Linked DNA regions of Saccharomyces cerevisiae S288C. The gene in region 1 interacts genetically with each later gene. Each region holds a gene or a part of one and is shown in the gene's direction. Other genes may lie near its edges.

Region 1 (3,600 bases):
GGTGTTGGAAGAGGCTACGCCGAGGGCGACGCCATCTTTAGATCCAGCGCTGGCCTCAGATCCTCGAAGGTTTAGTCTTAAGCGACGATGCTTTATATATATTCAAAAAAAAAAATAATAAAAATATGCAGTACCATTCCGCTCTATATGTATATATTTACGTAACTTTCACCACTATTCCCTATAAGGAAAAGCCGGATATCATTTCGATCTGCTTCAGCATGCTGTCGTTTGTTTTTGATTTTTCTGTCCGAATTTGCTCTCGTACCTTGGAGTCCTTTTCCTGGTCCTTGATCAGCTCCTCGGCTTTCAAAGTAGTCTCAGCTTTCAGTTTAGCTGGCTCTTGTGTACTTGCCTCCCGCAGCAGCGTCGGTATCATTGTTTCACTACTTTTGTTTAACTTTTCCACTTGTAACTTTGTTCTCTTCCTTTCAGCGGTGCTGATCGACCTCTTTTTTTGTACTTTCTTGCCAACACCAACATTCTTGCCCACACCTTTCTTTTTCATGCTACACTTGCCCATTTTTTCCTTGCTAAATGCCCTTGAGTTATTGTACCTTATTATAGCAGGCTTGCACATCTGAAAACGAAAATTTTTTTTTCCTTATATTTCTAATTCTTTTAGCGATGAGATATGAAAATTTTCAAAAAAAAGAGATGATGAGGTTAACTATTGTAAAGTAGACAGCAAACAAAAGGGTCACACAAATATCCAAATTGGCAAACGATGGTGTCTACACATAACAGAGATAAACCTTGGGATACGGATGATATTGATAAATGGAAGATAGAGGAGTTTAAGGAAGAGGATAACGCATCCGGTCAACCTTTTGCTGAAGAGTCCAGTTTTATGACTTTGTTTCCTAAATACAGAGAAAGTTACTTGAAGACGATTTGGAATGATGTAACAAGGGCTCTAGACAAACACAACATAGCGTGTGTTCTAGATTTAGTCGAAGGTTCTATGACAGTAAAAACAACTAGAAAAACATACGATCCCGCTATCATTTTGAAAGCCAGAGATTTGATCAAATTATTGGCGAGATCCGTTCCTTTCCCGCAAGCCGTTAAGATCCTACAAGATGACATGGCATGCGACGTTATTAAAATTGGTAATTTCGTTACTAACAAAGAAAGGTTTGTCAAGAGAAGACAACGTCTTGTAGGCCCTAACGGTAATACTTTAAAGGCTTTGGAACTTCTAACTAAATGTTACATTCTAGTACAAGGTAACACAGTAAGTGCCATGGGTCCCTTCAAGGGCTTGAAGGAGGTCCGTCGAGTAGTAGAAGATTGTATGAAAAATATTCACCCTATCTATCATATCAAGGAATTAATGATAAAAAGAGAATTGGCAAAAAGGCCAGAGTTAGCCAATGAAGATTGGTCAAGATTCTTGCCCATGTTTAAGAAGAGGAATGTGGCCAGAAAGAAACCCAAGAAGATCAGAAACGTCGAAAAGAAGGTCTATACTCCATTTCCTCCTGCCCAATTGCCTAGAAAGGTTGATTTGGAAATTGAAAGTGGTGAGTATTTCTTAAGCAAGAGAGAAAAGCAAATGAAGAAATTAAATGAGCAAAAGGAAAAGCAAATGGAAAGAGAAATCGAAAGGCAGGAAGAGAGAGCAAAAGATTTCATAGCTCCGGAAGAAGAAGCATACAAGCCAAACCAAAATTAGTTTACACCGCTACGGAATCCTTCATATATGTCTATATATATATAGAAACACACACACATTTCGTTTACTTAGATATGTTTGTAAAGTGAAAGAAATTCTTACTAGGACACCAACTCTACTGGCTCTCATATGCAGAGAGATATACATCAATACTTGAAATTTTCCTTATCCTTCTTCGACGCGTCATGAAGAGATAGAATGCGTAAAACGCGTTTGCTTCAATAGCATTTCAAACACATTATGTTGGAAAAAAACCAAGAACAGACAAACAACTAAGGAAGTTCGTTATTCGCTTTTGAACTTATCACCAAATATTTTAGTGATGGATGATGCCTTGCATGCTTTGTCCTCGTTGACTGCAAAGAAGAGAACTACCACCTACAAAAAAGTTGCTGTTCCCATACTAGATGAGAACGATAATACTAATGGAAATGGGCCCAATGACATAGACAATCCGCCAGAGTTGACTGGGAACGGGTTTTTATTTGCCAATGCCACATTAAATCGTGTTAAGAACAGATTAGAAGGCAAGAAAGCACCCGAACAGAATCACAATAATGGAAAAGATAGGAGTGAGAATTCGTTACCAACTCAATTAATCTCTAATCTTTACGATGGTGGTGAAGAGCTGGAGAAATCCGAAGTTAAAGATAATAGTTACAGTGAGAAAAATGTCTCTTCTTCATTCACGCAGACGCAAAGAATACCTGTCAGCATCCAACAAGACAAGGTGTTTAACGTACCTATCCATTCCGTTAATGACGGGAAACCCACCCAATTAATCAAAGAAGATGGTCTCGTCAACGAAACTTCTCAAGCGCTGAAAACACCTCTCACGACAGGACGGCCAGGGGCTACACAGCGTATAGATAGCAGCGGTGCAACCTCACAAACTCAGCCTATAAAATCAATTGAACCACAATCCCAAATAATTACGACTTCCAGCAATCATTCTAATGCTCTGTCGCCGAAAATTCCTATAATTCCAACGGAACTTATTGGAACTAGTCCTTTATTTCAGTCCATTCAAAATCGTGGTCCTGACACCCAAATGGATGTACCACCACAGACTGCGCATGATGAGGATAAGACACAAGCAATTGGTATTCCACAGGCTACGCATCAGGAACAGAAAACCCAAATAGATACAGTCGCACAAACACTTCAAGATGAAGTACCACACACATTAAAAATTCGGGAAATACAAAGCGAATTGGCTTCAGAAGATTCTAAAAGGGAAAAAGCTAGAAATGTCGAATACAAAAAACCGCAAAAGCCAATACCAACCAAAAAATTTTTTTCTAAAGAGTCTTTTCTTGCTGATTTTGACGATTCGTCCTCAAATGAGGACGATGATATAAAGCTGGAAAATGCACATCCAAAACCAGTACAGAATGACGATGAACTGCATGAGAACAAAAGTGTTGAATTAAATCTAACTGATGAGACAAGAATAAATGAGAAAAGGGTTCCACTATTGAGCTCCTATGCTAATAATTTGAAACGGGAAATTGACTCCTCGAAATGCATAACACTGGACCTCGACAGCGACAGTGACGAATATGGAGATGATGATATGGATAGCATTAAATTATCCAAAGATGAAAGCGTTTTGCCAATCTCTCAGTTATCAAAGGCGACTATATTAAACCTGAAGGCAAGACTCTCTAAACAAAATCAAAAGTTGTCTCAAAGGCCGAATAAAAGTAAAGACCCAAAAGTTGATCATAATGTACTATTAAATACCTTAAGGAAAGCTAGCAGGAAACAAATTCTGGATCATCAGAAAGAAGTGATTGAAACGAAAGGTCTGAAGCTGGAGGATATGGCCAAAGAAAAGGAAATAGTAGAGAACTTGCTAGAACAAGAAATTCTTAGAAATAAAAGAATCAGACAAAAAGAGAAGAGAAGGGAAAAACTTG
Region 2 (5,340 bases), on another chromosome or scaffold:
GGTTCAAGCGCTTTAGTAGATTTGAGATCAAACATAGGCTTATTGATAGAATCTAAATGGTCCGGTTTGGCGGTTTCGCTGAGTCCGTGAATATCTTGTACGCTTTGCCAACCAGTTTCTAGATTGGATAGGAATCCCTGTTCTTCTTCGTTTTCAATGTCTTGGTCAAGATCAATTTGATTATCTAGCTTTTGATTGGTAGTCGCTGAATAATGTCGATTATGGGCTAAAGTTTTAGTGTCATCTGTAACTATAGACCTCGGAATAGTCATGCTTGCAGCAGTTACCGCCGAAGTGTAATTTGACAACATAAGGTATATGAAACTCTCCAAAGACCATTCATACCAAACTTTTTGTTCTGTATCGGAGTGTATCCGAGACATCAGCACAGAAAGTTCGGAGTCATCTATAAAGGATATTGGTTGCTTCAAAGGAAAGATAATTGGAGACCACGAGGTCATATTTGGTGTATGGTCACATTTCTTGATTAGATTTTCTTCTCGTCTGGTATTCATCAACGTTTCTTCGCTAAATTTTAAACGGACTGTGCTGTCATTGGGCAAAGTTGACAAGAATATATTGTTATATAAGTTTGCCGAGAAGAATCCGATAAAGCCATGGATTTCGCCGCGGTGCTTTATCTTGAACTCATTTAATGAACTTTGAGAAAATTCAACTGTAAAATCATCTTCGTCTTGGACAGTATCTTTTTGGGCCATGGGATGCTCGAACCGCCACACTTCATTTACCCTTGAGGATAATATACAGTATGGCACTCTATGGACTATCCAGGGCGCCTCCAAAGAGCGATTTGTTTGTGAGAGTTTTTGGTAGAATAATGGTGACGAAATGGGTGCTATGTATGAAGAGTATGACCTCGGTATGAAAATTGTGTCATTGTGGGAATGATATTTTTCAATAGACCAGAGACATTCTGGTGATAATTCATTGCAACCGAACGAACCCAGCAGTTCACTTATGCACAGATCTATCTGAATACGCTTTTCCGACGGCTCGTTGATTTGCCATTTGGTCATATCCTCCTTGATTAATTTCACTCTATTATCCCAACAGTCGAAATTTCTTTTTTGCAAGTACAGATATGCCTGTGGATTTTTTTCAATGGCAATTATAGAAACCTTACTATCCATAAACAACATTGATATTATCTTAAAAGTTCGATCCACTAAAGGTCCTCTTCCCGCACCGGCTACTAGGATCACCAACGGTCTCTTGGCACTCGCTCGAGGAGCAAGATCTTGAAGCGCCTCTAATATGGCAGATTCGTAAAGATCGTACTTCACCAAATCTTTTTCAAAAGTCAAATATGTGGAATTTAATAAATTATCTGAATGAGGTTTCAGAGGCGGCATTATCCGAGAGTCCTCTTGGAGCAAAAATTGGTGATTACTATTGGAATTTAATACTTTGTCGCCCTTTTTCAATAAGTAGTTTATATATTCCAAATAGGCAGATTCTCCGCCCTTAACATTATTGGCATATTTCTCCATCCCATGCAATATCACGCATAATTCATTACCCAAAATTTGTGAATCTCCATTAACCTTTTGGAACTTTAAAATCAAATTCTGGTTAAACTTGTGTAAAACGGGATAATCGTACTGATTACTGGCAAAGATGGATGAAGATACCAAAAGACACGAGACGGGTTCGGCTAACCATCTATTCAGCACATACGAAGGAGTCCTGGTTCTTGGCAAAGCCAAAGAGATAGTCAAAGAGGGATGATATTCGCATTGTTTCCGCACGGTATTCCACAGTTCCCAAGTGGCCAATGGATCGCTGTCTTCGTAAAGTGGCAGAGAAATGGATATGGTTAACGCAGGCGCAGCAAAGACGATGCGATTTTGCAGGAGCCTGTAAATCATCTGTCCATACAATTGCAGGTTGGACAGGTCCCGTGGAGGCGCCAATATTAGCTTATTGATTCCAACAAACCTCGCGTACTTACATTCGTTTAGAAGGACCTTTAAGCCAAGATCTCTTACATTTGGATCGCGACTCTCCAGCTCCAGCCAAGAGGATAACAGCCCTATGTAAGACGGCGTATCGTCATTGTCTAGCTTCTTGACGTTGAACGGGGGTATACAGATATCCTGCAACTGCGGTTCAGGAATTTGAAGCGGTTTCCAGTTCTGTATGGATTGTCTTTGGAAATCTTTGAAAACTTGCCCAACTATTTCCTTATATCTTGGCGTTGTTATAGGAAGCAAAACGTAATCATAGTTACTAGGCAGTTCTGGTGAATGACTAGAGACATTTTCTAGGAAACGTGACTTTTTGCTGTGCTGTTTATGATTAAAGCCTGGTTTGACACCAACAAATACGTTGCTATGCATATGCAAACTGAACCCTTTGTATATATAAAAATTATATGTATAAAAGAAGAGGAACGTCCGCACAATTCCACACACACACACACACACACGCTTTCACACACGCAATTTGAAATAGCTCCTATAGGGCTTGGGAATAGGATCACAAGTCACTCGAAATATACCATTTTTTCTATCACACATACACATTGTATAAAGCCATTTGTTTCAAAAAAATATAAAAACACTGCGCAGCGTGCTGTTTCGGGTTCCATTTGTGATTGTTTATTTTTCTTTTGGTTTAGCTCAGTGCAAAACGAGGGCTCGAAGAATTTTCAGATAAAACAGTACTCGAGCCCTGAGATCTGTTTTAGGGTCTAAAAGGCGGGTTATAAAAATATGTCAGGTGATTTTTTTTTCTCGTGGTATGAGATAAATAAAGAATGGAGCTTTTATGCATGAAAGGACAGCGGATGGCAGTAGAGCAGACATCAGTAGCATTCATTACAACTCTGTCGTAAGTTCTTGGAACTGCTGGCCGCGTTGGATACAACTAGATTGACACGCACTTACTCTCGTCTTACAGTACTATGTACCATCACTATCACGCCTTCCAAGGCAGAAAGCTTACTGACCAAGAAAGAGCACGCGTGTTGGAGTTTCAAGATTCCATTCACTATTCTCCGCGGTACTCAGACGATAACTATGAGTACAGGCATGTGATGTTACCTAAGGCCATGCTAAAAGTTATCCCATCTGATTACTTCAATTCGGAAGTGGGGACCCTGCGTATATTAACAGAAGACGAATGGAGAGGCCTCGGCATCACACAGTCTTTGGGGTGGGAACATTATGAATGCCATGCGCCAGAACCACACATTTTGCTATTCAAAAGGCCGCTGAACTACGAGGCCGAGCTGAGGGCAGCGACCGCTGCTGCTCAACAGCAACAGCAACAGCAGCAACAGCAGCAACAACAACAACAGCAACATCAAACACAATCGATTTCGAACGATATGCAAGTTCCACCCCAAATCTCCTAGCTTTGATATACTCTAATTACTGAAATTGAATTCCTTTTCAAGGCTCCATAACTATATGGAGCATACTATGTACTTATCATAATAAAGAATAAACAAACAAGCAAACAAAAAAAAAAAAAACTATGGATCATAGTTTTCACCAACAAGCATTAGAATACAAATAAAATTTATATAGTGAATATCCTTCAAATAAATTTCTTCTTTCCCTTATAAATCAAATAGATGGAACGCACGCTCCAAAACTAGTCAACTAGAAAAAAATACCCGCCGACGGACAATTTTGAAGAGAGATGATTAATGAAGACAAAGTGAGGCTGGACAACAAGAACGACATACACCGCGTAAAGGCCCACAAGACTGCATGGAATCACACGTCAAATATCTTGACGAATTGATATTGGCAATAAAAGACCTGAACTCGGGGGTGGATTCAAAGGTGCAGATTAAAAAAGTGCCCACGGATCCATCTTCTTCTCAGGAGTACGCCAAGAGTTTAAAGATCCTGAACACCCTCATAAGAAACCTAAAAGATCAAAGAAGGAACAATATCATGAAAAATGATACTATATTTTCGAAAACAGTTTCCGCCCTTGCCTTATTGTTGGAGTACAACCCCTTCTTGCTTGTTATGAAGGATTCCAACGGGAACTTTGAGATACAAAGGCTGATAGATGATTTCCTCAACATATCCGTTCTGAACTATGATAATTACCACAGAATATGGTTTATGAGGCGAAAATTAGGCAGCTGGTGCAAAGCATGTGTCGAATTTTACGGAAAACCTGCTAAGTTTCAGCTTACTGCACATTTTGAGAACACCATGAATCTTTACGAACAGGCCTTGACTGAAGTCTTGTTGGGCAAGACTGAGCTTCTCAAATTTTATGACACCTTGAAGGGTCTATACATTCTTTTATACTGGTTCACTTCGGAGTATAGTACTTTTGGGAACTCTATAGCATTCTTAGATTCTTCTTTGGGGTTCACGAAATTTGACTTTAACTTCCAACGATTAATCAGGATTGTTCTTTACGTCTTTGATTCCTGCGAACTAGCAGCACTAGAATATGCCGAAATCCAACTCAAATATATTTCTCTAGTTGTGGACTATGTTTGCAATAGAACAATTTCCACAGCCCTGGATGCCCCAGCGTTAGTTTGTTGTGAACAATTAAAGTTTGTATTGACTACTATGCATCATTTTTTGGATAACAAGTATGGGCTCTTGGATAATGACCCCACTATGGCCAAAGGAATTCTTCGACTATATTCTCTTTGCATTTCTAACGATTTCTCAAAATGCTTTGTAGACCACTTCCCAATTGACCAGTGGGCAGATTTTTCACAAAGTGAACATTTTCCGTTCACGCAGTTGACTAATAAAGCTCTCTCGATTGTATATTTTGATTTGAAAAGAAGGTCCCTACCTGTTGAAGCTTTAAAGTACGATAATAAGTTCAACATCTGGGTATACCAATCGGAGCCGGACTCGAGCTTGAAAAATGTCACTTCTCCCTTTGATGATCGATATAAGCAGCTGGAAAAGCTAAGGTTGCTAGTACTAAAGAAGTTTAACAAGACAGAAAGAGGAACTTTGCTCAAATACCGCGTGAACCAGCTAAGTCCTGGATTTTTTCAAAGAGCTGGAAACGATTTCAAGCTAATTTTAAATGAAGCATCTGTATCCATTCAAACTTGTTTCAAGACAAACAATATAACAAGGCTAACATCATGGACTGTAATTCTCGGACGTCTAGCCTGTCTAGAATCAGAGAAGTTTTCCGGCACTCTGCCAAATTCCACAAAGGATATGGATAATTGGTATGTTTGTCATTTATGCGATATTGAGAAAACTGGCAACCCTTTCGTGCGAATAAATCCAAATAGACCAGAGGCTGCGGGTAAATCAGAAATCTTCAGGATACTTCATTCAAACTTTCTATCTCACCCAAATATAGATG
Region 3 (9,016 bases), on another chromosome or scaffold:
AGAATATACTAAAAAAAGAAAAACAAGCACTAGCCCTAGATATGGAAAAAAAGATATTAAAACGTAATTCTAATTTAGACATCCGTGCTTCTAGTAATTATATGGTTAAAAAAAAAGGAAAGGAAGTAAATAAATAAGTATAGAAATAAATAGAAGCGAATAAGTCCTGAAATACAGAAAAGTTCTTATGCAGAGCCAGATGCCGCAGCATTCTTACCTTCGACCTCGGCCAAAGATGGAATGGACACATCACCAGAATGGATAATATTGTTAATGGTGGCAAAGATGGCTCTCACTGAAGAATCACCGACATCTTCGGAGACACCTACACCCCATTTGTAGGCCTTTTCGTTGTCGGCATTACGCCTATACGATAGATGGATGTAAGAAGCAGCTTGCGTAGAAGAACCAGAACCTAGAGAATGCTCTGTGTAGTTTGCTACGGCAAATCTCACGTTCAACAAGTTTGATAGGGCGTCGACCAAAGAAGAGATTGGACCATTACCTGTACCTTCAATATCGACGATCTGGTCGCCTACTTTGACTTGACCAGTGAACACTCTACGTTCAGTGCCGAATTTTTCAACATTATAATTGACTAAACTAATAGCTTGGTACTGTTCGTCATTGTAGTTGTAAGCCTCTTTGAATAACTTGGAAATCTCATCTGATTTTAGTTCTCTACCCAAGGAGTCAGCATGGTCTTGAACGGCGCTAGAAAATTCGATTTGCATGTTTCTTGGTAGATCCAAACCCAAAGATCTCAAAATAACCCAAGCGGCACCACCTTTACCAGACTGAGAGTTGACTCTGATGACAGCTTCGTAATCACGGCCAATGTCCTTTGGATCCAATGGCAAGTATGGGATTCTCCATTGAGTTTCACCTTGAGCACGCTTCTTGTTTTGTAAGTTGAAACCCTTCTTAATGGCGTCTTGGTGAGAACCGGAAAAGGCACAAACGACCAAGTCACCGCCGTATGGTGCTCTTTGCGATACTGGGATCTTATTACAACGCTCAACCACATCTAGGACAGAGGTCAAGTCAGAGAAATCCAAATTAGGAGAAACACCTTGGGTATACATATTCATAGCAACAGTAACCAAGTCCACATTACCTGTACGTTCACCATTACCAAAGAGACATCCTTCTACACGGTCGGCACCTGCAAGCATACCTAACTCTGTGGCGGCGACACCGCAACCACGGTCATTGTGACAATGTGTAGAGATGCAAACCTTCTCACGCTCAGTAATATGGGTAGCGAAGTATTCAATCTGATCAGCATAAACATTTGGAGAGGCAACTTCTACGGTAGCAGGTAAGTTGAAAATGATTGGATTTTCCTCGGTAGGTTCCCAAGCCTTCTTAACAGCTTCGCAAATTTCTACAGCAAATTCACCTGGAGTATCACTGAAACATTCGGGGGAAAACTCATAGGACCAACGAGTGGCTTGTTGGGAAGGGTCATCCTTAGTTAGTTTCCTAACTAGTTTGGTGGCCTCTACTGCCTTGGAAATAGCTTCCTCTCTAGACATATTAAAAACAATTTCACGGAACATATCACTTGTTGCCAAGTAAGTATGTATAGTAGCCTTTTTAGCACCTGTTAATGCTTCCACCGTTCTCTTAATCAAGTGTTCTCTAGATTGGACAAGACATTGAATACTAACATCGTCTGGGGCGTTTTCTACAGCATATCTAGTGAAGTCGAAATCTGTTTGAGATGCAGAGGGGAAGGAAACCTCGATTTCTTTGAACCCAATATTGACCAGCTTGTGAAAGTATTCTTTCTTTTGTTCCACTGACATGGGATCCGGCAGAGATTGGTTACCATCTCTCAAATCTGTTGATAACCAACGAGGAGCCCTCGTGATCCGGTTATCCGGCCACTTTCTATTAGATAGCTTTGGAGCGTTAAATGGCTTGTACTTGGAGGAAGGGTCCTTAAGCATATTTTTATAGGCTAGCTTCACTGGAGGAATAACTCTTGAGGCTCTGGAGGCCGCATGCTCAGCAAGAGCAATAATACTCTCTTTAACCATGATTGTTCCTTGTCTTTTTGTAAGGAAAAAGTCTACAGTAAACTTCTAGTGTGAGAATCCTTTTTTTTCTTCAAAAAATACCCTTTGAAAGAACTGAGTCACTTACACGTAAGTTTCTTTTTACTGGTCAAGTTGAAAAATAACCAATAAATGATTATGGAAAGAACGTTGAAAGAGGAGAGAGGCTGACCCAAGAGGAGAAAACATCGAACCTACGCGACTCCATAGCGCACATCTCCCATGCGCCCGTGCTTATATATATATAAATATACATACACACATACATGCACGCACATACATGCACGCGCATGACAGTGACTGGCCGTTACTGTACAATTTTTTCAGCCAAGTATGACACACATTCAACTCAGCTTTTCTGAGGCCTTCTTTCTTTTCCTGCGCGTCGGTAGAGCGATGACTAACCTACTACTGTCTCAGAGCCGGTCCCGCTCCGGTAGCAATCCTGGGGCTGGTCATAACAGCCGAGTGGAAGTGTCAAAGCGGAGAACAGAAGCATAAGCTCAATCGCTGGACATACGGATGCTTATATACGTCTTATTGTCGTTGAAAAATATCGAATTTTTTACTTCATTTATCGAGGCTTCTTCGAGCACTTTTCCGCTATGGCTTTTTCCCCGTTTCCTTTTAATCACGTGCGCGGGTAGCACCCGGCACACAGCTGGTGTCTCGTCGCACATGCTATTGTGTGTCATCGGGCCACACAAGCATATTGCTTGAATTTTCTTTCATCGTTCAACTTAAATCCACCCAATCTAGATGTAGCCGTAGCATGTAATAACGTATATCCTTGTTTACATGCATCTGTGCCAGGTGAAACGGTCTGTTTGAACGCACATCATTTCATATATTAGTCAACTCCTGAAGGTCTTCTTGCCTGTCCGTCAACTGTTTAGACAGACTCTCGTCAATAAAGCGCACTTCTGATAAGCACTTTTATTCCTTTTTTTCCACTGTGAACGATGAAGCAGGAGCAGTCCCACGAAGGCGACTCATACAGCACGGAATTCATAAATCTCTTTGGCAAAGATACCGCAACACACCCTAGCAGCAACAACGGTGCTAATAATAATGGCATGGGGAGCACGAACTCGTTGGACCAGTTTGTGGCAACAGCCTCATCGTCATCTTCTCTGGTGACCAGCAGCGAGAATAGGCGCCCCCTAATAGGTGACGTTACCAATAGGGGCAACACTAACCTATATGACCACGCTGTCACGCCAGAAATACTCTTAGAACAGTTGGCCTACGTGGATAACTTCATACCATCTCTGGATAACGAGTTCTCTAATGTGGATTGGAATGTGAATACCACCCATAATAATGCAAACAATAATGGCGCGGACACTTTCAGCAGCATAAATGCAAATCCTTTTGACTTGGATGAACAACTAGCCATTGAGTTGAGTGCGTTTGCCGACGATTCTTTCATCTTCCCAGACGAGGATAAGCCGAGCAATAACAATAACAACAGCAATAATGGTAATGACGACCATAGCAACCACGACGTATTGCATGAGGACCCTTCTACCAATAATAGACAAAGAAATCCTCACTTCTTGACTCAAAGAAGGAATACTTTCCTAACTTCCCAATACGACCAATCAAAGTCTCGATTTTCGTCCAAAAACAAAAGAAATGGCAATAACGGCGAAACAAACAACTTTGGCGACAATATGCAAAATAACCATCCTTTTGAGCCAAACTTTATGGGAAGCCCTTCTCAGTTTCCCGCTGACGCAACTAATATGACATCAATCGACCATGGCGGCTTCACAAATGTTGACATTACATCAACTGAGAACAATACTACCGGTGACAATGGAGTGGATGCGCTATCAAATCTACTACATAGGACAACACACACACCGAACCGCTCCTCCCCCCTAAGCAATGTCACTTCTGCTCAAAATTCCTCTTCACAACAACGAAAACATTCGGAAAGCAAAGTCGATAGTAACAGCGATAATAACAGCTCCAACAAAGCCCCCAATATAACTGTTCCTGACTATTCAATTATACCAACCTCTGTTTTAGTAACTCTATTACCGAGGGTCAACGTGCCCAACGGCGCATATAACTCGTTGATCAGCGCGGGATTTGACAATGATCAAATAGATGCTATAGCCGCAATAATGGCGTATCATCATCAAAAAAAGATTAGGGAAAATAACAGTAATAATAATAAAAACATCAACACCAATGACAGTCAAGAGGCACCCATTCTAAAAAACATCAACGAACTTTTAAGTGTCTTAATACCACCCTCTCCGGCTGAAACTGCTGCGCCAACTACCTTATCAACGTCGCCTTCGTTCAATGAGCACGGTGTAGTAGCAGAGGCTTCTTTTCTAAGCTCCATTTTGGAACTGGGCATAAAGCATCCAAAAAGTAATAATATTCACAATCAACGACAACCTTCACGAAACGATCATAAAATATCAAGAGAGAGTGACGGTAACAATGGAAACGATAATGTCCATCATAATAACGCTGTTATTAAGTCAAGTACGACGCGTGGAGACGAAATTGCCAAGATACGATCCGAGCCAACTTTAAATGCAAGTTCTTCTGATCACAAGGAAAATAGTTTAAAAAGATCACACTCCGGAGATTTGAAAAATAAAAAAGTACCCGTCGACCGCAAGTATTCTGATAATGAAGACGATGAATATGACGATGCAGATTTACACGGCTTTGAAAAGAAGCAACTGATCAAGAAAGAGTTAGGGGACGACGATGAAGATTTATTGATACAGTCGAAAAAATCTCATCAAAAAAAAAAACTAAAGGAAAAGGAGTTAGAATCATCGATACATGAACTGACCGAAATTGCAGCATCCTTACAAAAACGGATACATACGTTAGAAACGGAAAACAAGCTTTTAAAGAATTTAGTTCTGAGTAGCGGTGAAACGGAAGGAATAAAAAAAGCTGAAAGCTTAAAGAAGCAAATTTTTGAGAAGGTTCAGAAAGAATAAAATAACAGACTATACAGTTTAATTATATATATATATATATATACGTGCATTTTTCTTAAAGAAATATAACTTTTTTCTTGTACTGCCTGCAATCTCTATTCTTCATTCATCACACATCTATTCAAACGCGTTAAAATTTTTTTGTTAGCCTATAAGTAAAACGCGTCGCGTGTATCCAATTTTACTGAATTAAATTCTTTACTCATTGGATGATATATATCTTCTTGGTCTAGACAACGAACACATACCAATTCAGACTCACGAGAAAAAAAACTGTCTTCACTCTGCTATTAGAAACCAAATAGTATCAAGGCATAAAATAAACAGTGGAAAATGTCTTCTAAAAGTGAAAAATTAGAAAAATTGAGAAAGCTGCAAGCCGCTCGAAATGGTACATCCATCGATGATTACGAAGGTGACGAATCAGATGGTGACAGAATATACGACGAAATCGACGAAAAAGAATACAGGGCCAGAAAGCGCCAGGAATTGCTGCATGACGATTTTGTTGTAGATGACGATGGTGTAGGCTACGTCGATCGTGGTGTCGAAGAAGATTGGAGGGAAGTTGATAACAGTTCAAGTGATGAAGACACTGGAAACCTTGCTAGCAAGGATTCTAAAAGGAAGAAGAATATAAAAAGGGAGAAAGACCACCAGATTACAGATATGCTGCGAACTCAACATTCCAAATCAACACTGCTAGCACATGCAAAAAAATCCCAAAAAAAAAGTATCCCCATCGATAATTTTGATGACATTCTTGGTGAGTTTGAATCTGGTGAAGTAGAAAAACCCAATATTTTACTGCCATCCAAATTAAGGGAAAATTTAAATTCTTCGCCGACTAGTGAATTTAAATCGTCAATAAAGAGAGTTAACGGAAACGATGAGTCAAGTCATGATGCCGGTATTTCTAAAAAAGTCAAGATTGATCCAGATTCAAGTACTGATAAATATTTAGAAATCGAATCATCACCGTTAAAATTACAAAGCAGGAAACTGCGCTACGCAAATGATGTACAGGATTTATTGGATGATGTGGAAAATTCCCCAGTAGTAGCCACAAAGAGACAGAATGTACTTCAAGATACGTTACTAGCAAATCCACCATCCGCTCAAAGTTTGGCTGATGAAGAAGATGATGAAGATAGTGATGAAGATATTATTCTGAAAAGAAGAACTATGAGAAGTGTGACAACAACTAGACGCGTGAATATAGACTCAAGAAGTAACCCTTCAACTTCACCGTTTGTCACAGCACCCGGAACGCCAATCGGTATTAAAGGACTAACTCCAAGTAAATCTTTGCAGAGCAACACCGATGTTGCTACACTTGCGGTTAATGTCAAAAAGGAAGATGTGGTAGATCCGGAAACTGATACTTTCCAAATGTTTTGGTTGGATTACTGTGAAGTGAACAACACTTTGATTTTATTTGGTAAGGTTAAACTAAAGGATGATAATTGTGTGTCAGCCATGGTTCAAATCAACGGTCTCTGTAGAGAGCTATTTTTCCTTCCAAGAGAGGGTAAAACACCTACCGATATACACGAGGAAATAATTCCGTTACTGATGGATAAATATGGACTGGATAATATCCGCGCTAAACCTCAAAAAATGAAATATTCGTTTGAGCTTCCTGACATTCCATCTGAAAGTGATTATTTGAAAGTCTTACTTCCATACCAAACACCGAAGTCCAGTCGAGACACCATTCCATCGGATTTATCTAGCGATACCTTTTATCATGTTTTTGGTGGGAATTCCAATATTTTTGAAAGTTTTGTTATTCAAAATAGGATTATGGGACCATGCTGGTTAGATATAAAGGGAGCAGATTTCAATTCAATTCGTAATGCTTCTCACTGTGCGGTTGAAGTTTCGGTAGATAAGCCTCAGAATATCACGCCTACTACAACAAAGACAATGCCTAATCTGAGATGTCTATCTTTATCGATTCAGACGTTAATGAATCCCAAGGAAAATAAGCAAGAGATTGTTTCGATAACGTTATCAGCATATAGAAATATCTCGTTGGATTCACCGATACCTGAAAATATAAAACCAGACGACTTGTGTACTTTAGTAAGGCCGCCTCAGTCAACTAGTTTCCCATTAGGTTTAGCTGCACTGGCAAAACAGAAACTACCCGGTAGAGTCAGGTTGTTCAACAACGAAAAGGCCATGCTATCTTGTTTTTGTGCTATGTTAAAAGTGGAAGACCCAGATGTTATCATAGGCCATCGTTTGCAAAATGTCTACTTAGATGTTTTAGCTCATAGAATGCATGATCTCAACATTCCAACGTTCAGCTCTATTGGCCGTCGTTTAAGAAGGACTTGGCCTGAAAAATTCGGTAGAGGAAATTCGAATATGAACCATTTTTTTATTAGTGACATTTGCTCTGGTAGGCTGATATGTGATATCGCCAATGAAATGGGTCAATCATTAACACCCAAATGTCAAAGTTGGGATCTTTCAGAGATGTATCAAGTTACATGTGAAAAGGAGCATAAGCCGTTAGATATTGATTATCAAAATCCACAATACCAAAATGATGTAAATAGTATGACAATGGCCCTACAAGAGAATATTACTAATTGTATGATTTCTGCTGAGGTGTCTTATAGAATTCAATTATTAACCTTGACTAAACAGTTGACAAATTTGGCTGGTAATGCATGGGCCCAAACGCTAGGCGGTACAAGAGCTGGTAGAAATGAGTATATCTTACTACATGAATTTTCAAGAAATGGTTTTATTGTTCCTGACAAAGAAGGCAATAGAAGTAGAGCTCAGAAACAAAGACAAAATGAAGAAAATGCTGATGCACCAGTTAATTCTAAAAAGGCAAAATATCAGGGTGGTTTAGTTTTTGAACCTGAGAAAGGTCTTCATAAGAATTACGTTTTAGTCATGGACTTTAATTCTTTGTATCCATCTATTATCCAGGAATTTAATATATGTTTTACCACCGTTGATAGAAATAAGGAAGATATCGATGAGTTACCAAGCGTACCTCCTTCAGAGGTGGATCAGGGTGTTTTACCAAGGTTATTAGCTAATCTGGTGGATCGTCGACGTGAAGTTAAGAAGGTGATGAAAACTGAAACTGATCCCCATAAGCGAGTTCAATGTGATATTCGTCAACAAGCTCTAAAATTGACTGCCAATTCTATGTATGGTTGTTTGGGTTATGTTAACAGTAGATTTTACGCAAAGCCGCTCGCCATGTTAGTCACTAATAAGGGTCGTGAGATTTTAATGAATACAAGACAACTAGCTGAAAGTATGAATCTTCTTGTAGTTTATGGTGATACAGATTCGGTCATGATAGATACCGGTTGTGATAATTATGCGGATGCAATTAAAATTGGCTTGGGATTTAAAAGGCTAGTAAATGAGCGCTATAGATTATTGGAGATTGATATTGATAATGTTTTTAAGAAGTTACTATTACATGCCAAGAAAAAGTACGCTGCTTTGACTGTAAATTTGGACAAAAATGGTAATGGAACTACTGTTCTAGAAGTTAAAGGGTTGGACATGAAGCGTCGTGAATTTTGTCCACTTTCGAGGGACGTTTCTATACATGTTTTAAACACCATCCTGTCAGATAAGGACCCAGAAGAAGCATTGCAAGAAGTGTATGATTACTTAGAAGACATCAGAATAAAAGTGGAAACCAATAACATTAGAATTGATAAATATAAGATCAATATGAAGCTTTCAAAAGATCCCAAGGCCTACCCAGGTGGTAAAAACATGCCTGCAGTCCAAGTAGCTCTAAGAATGCGTAAGGCTGGTAGAGTTGTTAAAGCTGGCTCTGTCATCACTTTTGTGATCACAAAGCAGGATGAAATAGACAATGCAGCGGATACGCCGGCTCTTTCTGTGGCTGAACGTGCCCATGCATTGAATGAGGTAATGATTAAAAGTAACAATTTGATACCTGATCCACAATATTAT

The links.
Region 2: mutations in MRC1 (region 1) and MEC1 impair growth when combined (synthetic growth defect), as found in Saccharomyces cerevisiae (5 studies listed by BioGRID, with this or other methods).
Region 3: mutations in MRC1 (region 1) and POL1 impair growth when combined (synthetic growth defect), as found in Saccharomyces cerevisiae (5 studies listed by BioGRID, with this or other methods).

What each region holds. Positions count from the first base shown.
Region 1 is NC_001135.5:20,507-24,106, reverse strand, and holds the start of MRC1 (chromatin-modulating protein MRC1), read left to right. Parts: upstream 1-2,000; coding exon 2,001-3,600. Other genes in the region: MIC10 (Mic10p), read left to right, coding at 1-75; ADF1 (Adf1p), read right to left, coding at 182-523; FYV5 (Fyv5p), read left to right, coding at 126-584; ribosome biosynthesis protein KRR1, read left to right, coding at 728-1,678. UniProt on the Saccharomyces cerevisiae protein: Required for normal DNA replication. Phosphorylated in response to DNA replication stress. Phosphorylation allows it to mediate the activation of RAD53.
Region 2 is NC_001134.8:501,928-507,267, forward strand, and holds the start of MEC1 (protein kinase MEC1), read left to right. Parts: upstream 1-3,740; coding exon 3,741-5,340. Other genes in the region: HSL7 (protein arginine N-methyltransferase), read right to left, coding at 1-2,360; cyclin-dependent protein kinase regulatory subunit CKS1, read left to right, coding at 2,927-3,379. UniProt on the Saccharomyces cerevisiae protein: Serine/threonine protein kinase which activates checkpoint signaling upon genotoxic stresses such as ionizing radiation (IR), ultraviolet light (UV), or DNA replication stalling, thereby acting as a DNA damage sensor.
Region 3 is NC_001146.8:424,710-433,725, forward strand, and holds the start of POL1 (DNA-directed DNA polymerase alpha catalytic subunit POL1), read left to right. Parts: upstream 1-5,377; coding exon 5,378-9,016. Other genes in the region: 2-isopropylmalate synthase LEU4, read right to left, coding at 186-2,045; MET4 (Met4p), read left to right, coding at 3,026-5,044. UniProt on the Saccharomyces cerevisiae protein: Catalytic component of DNA polymerase alpha, which in complex with DNA primase (DNA polymerase alpha:primase) constitutes a replicative polymerase. POL1 has a role in promoting telomere replication during interaction with CDC13.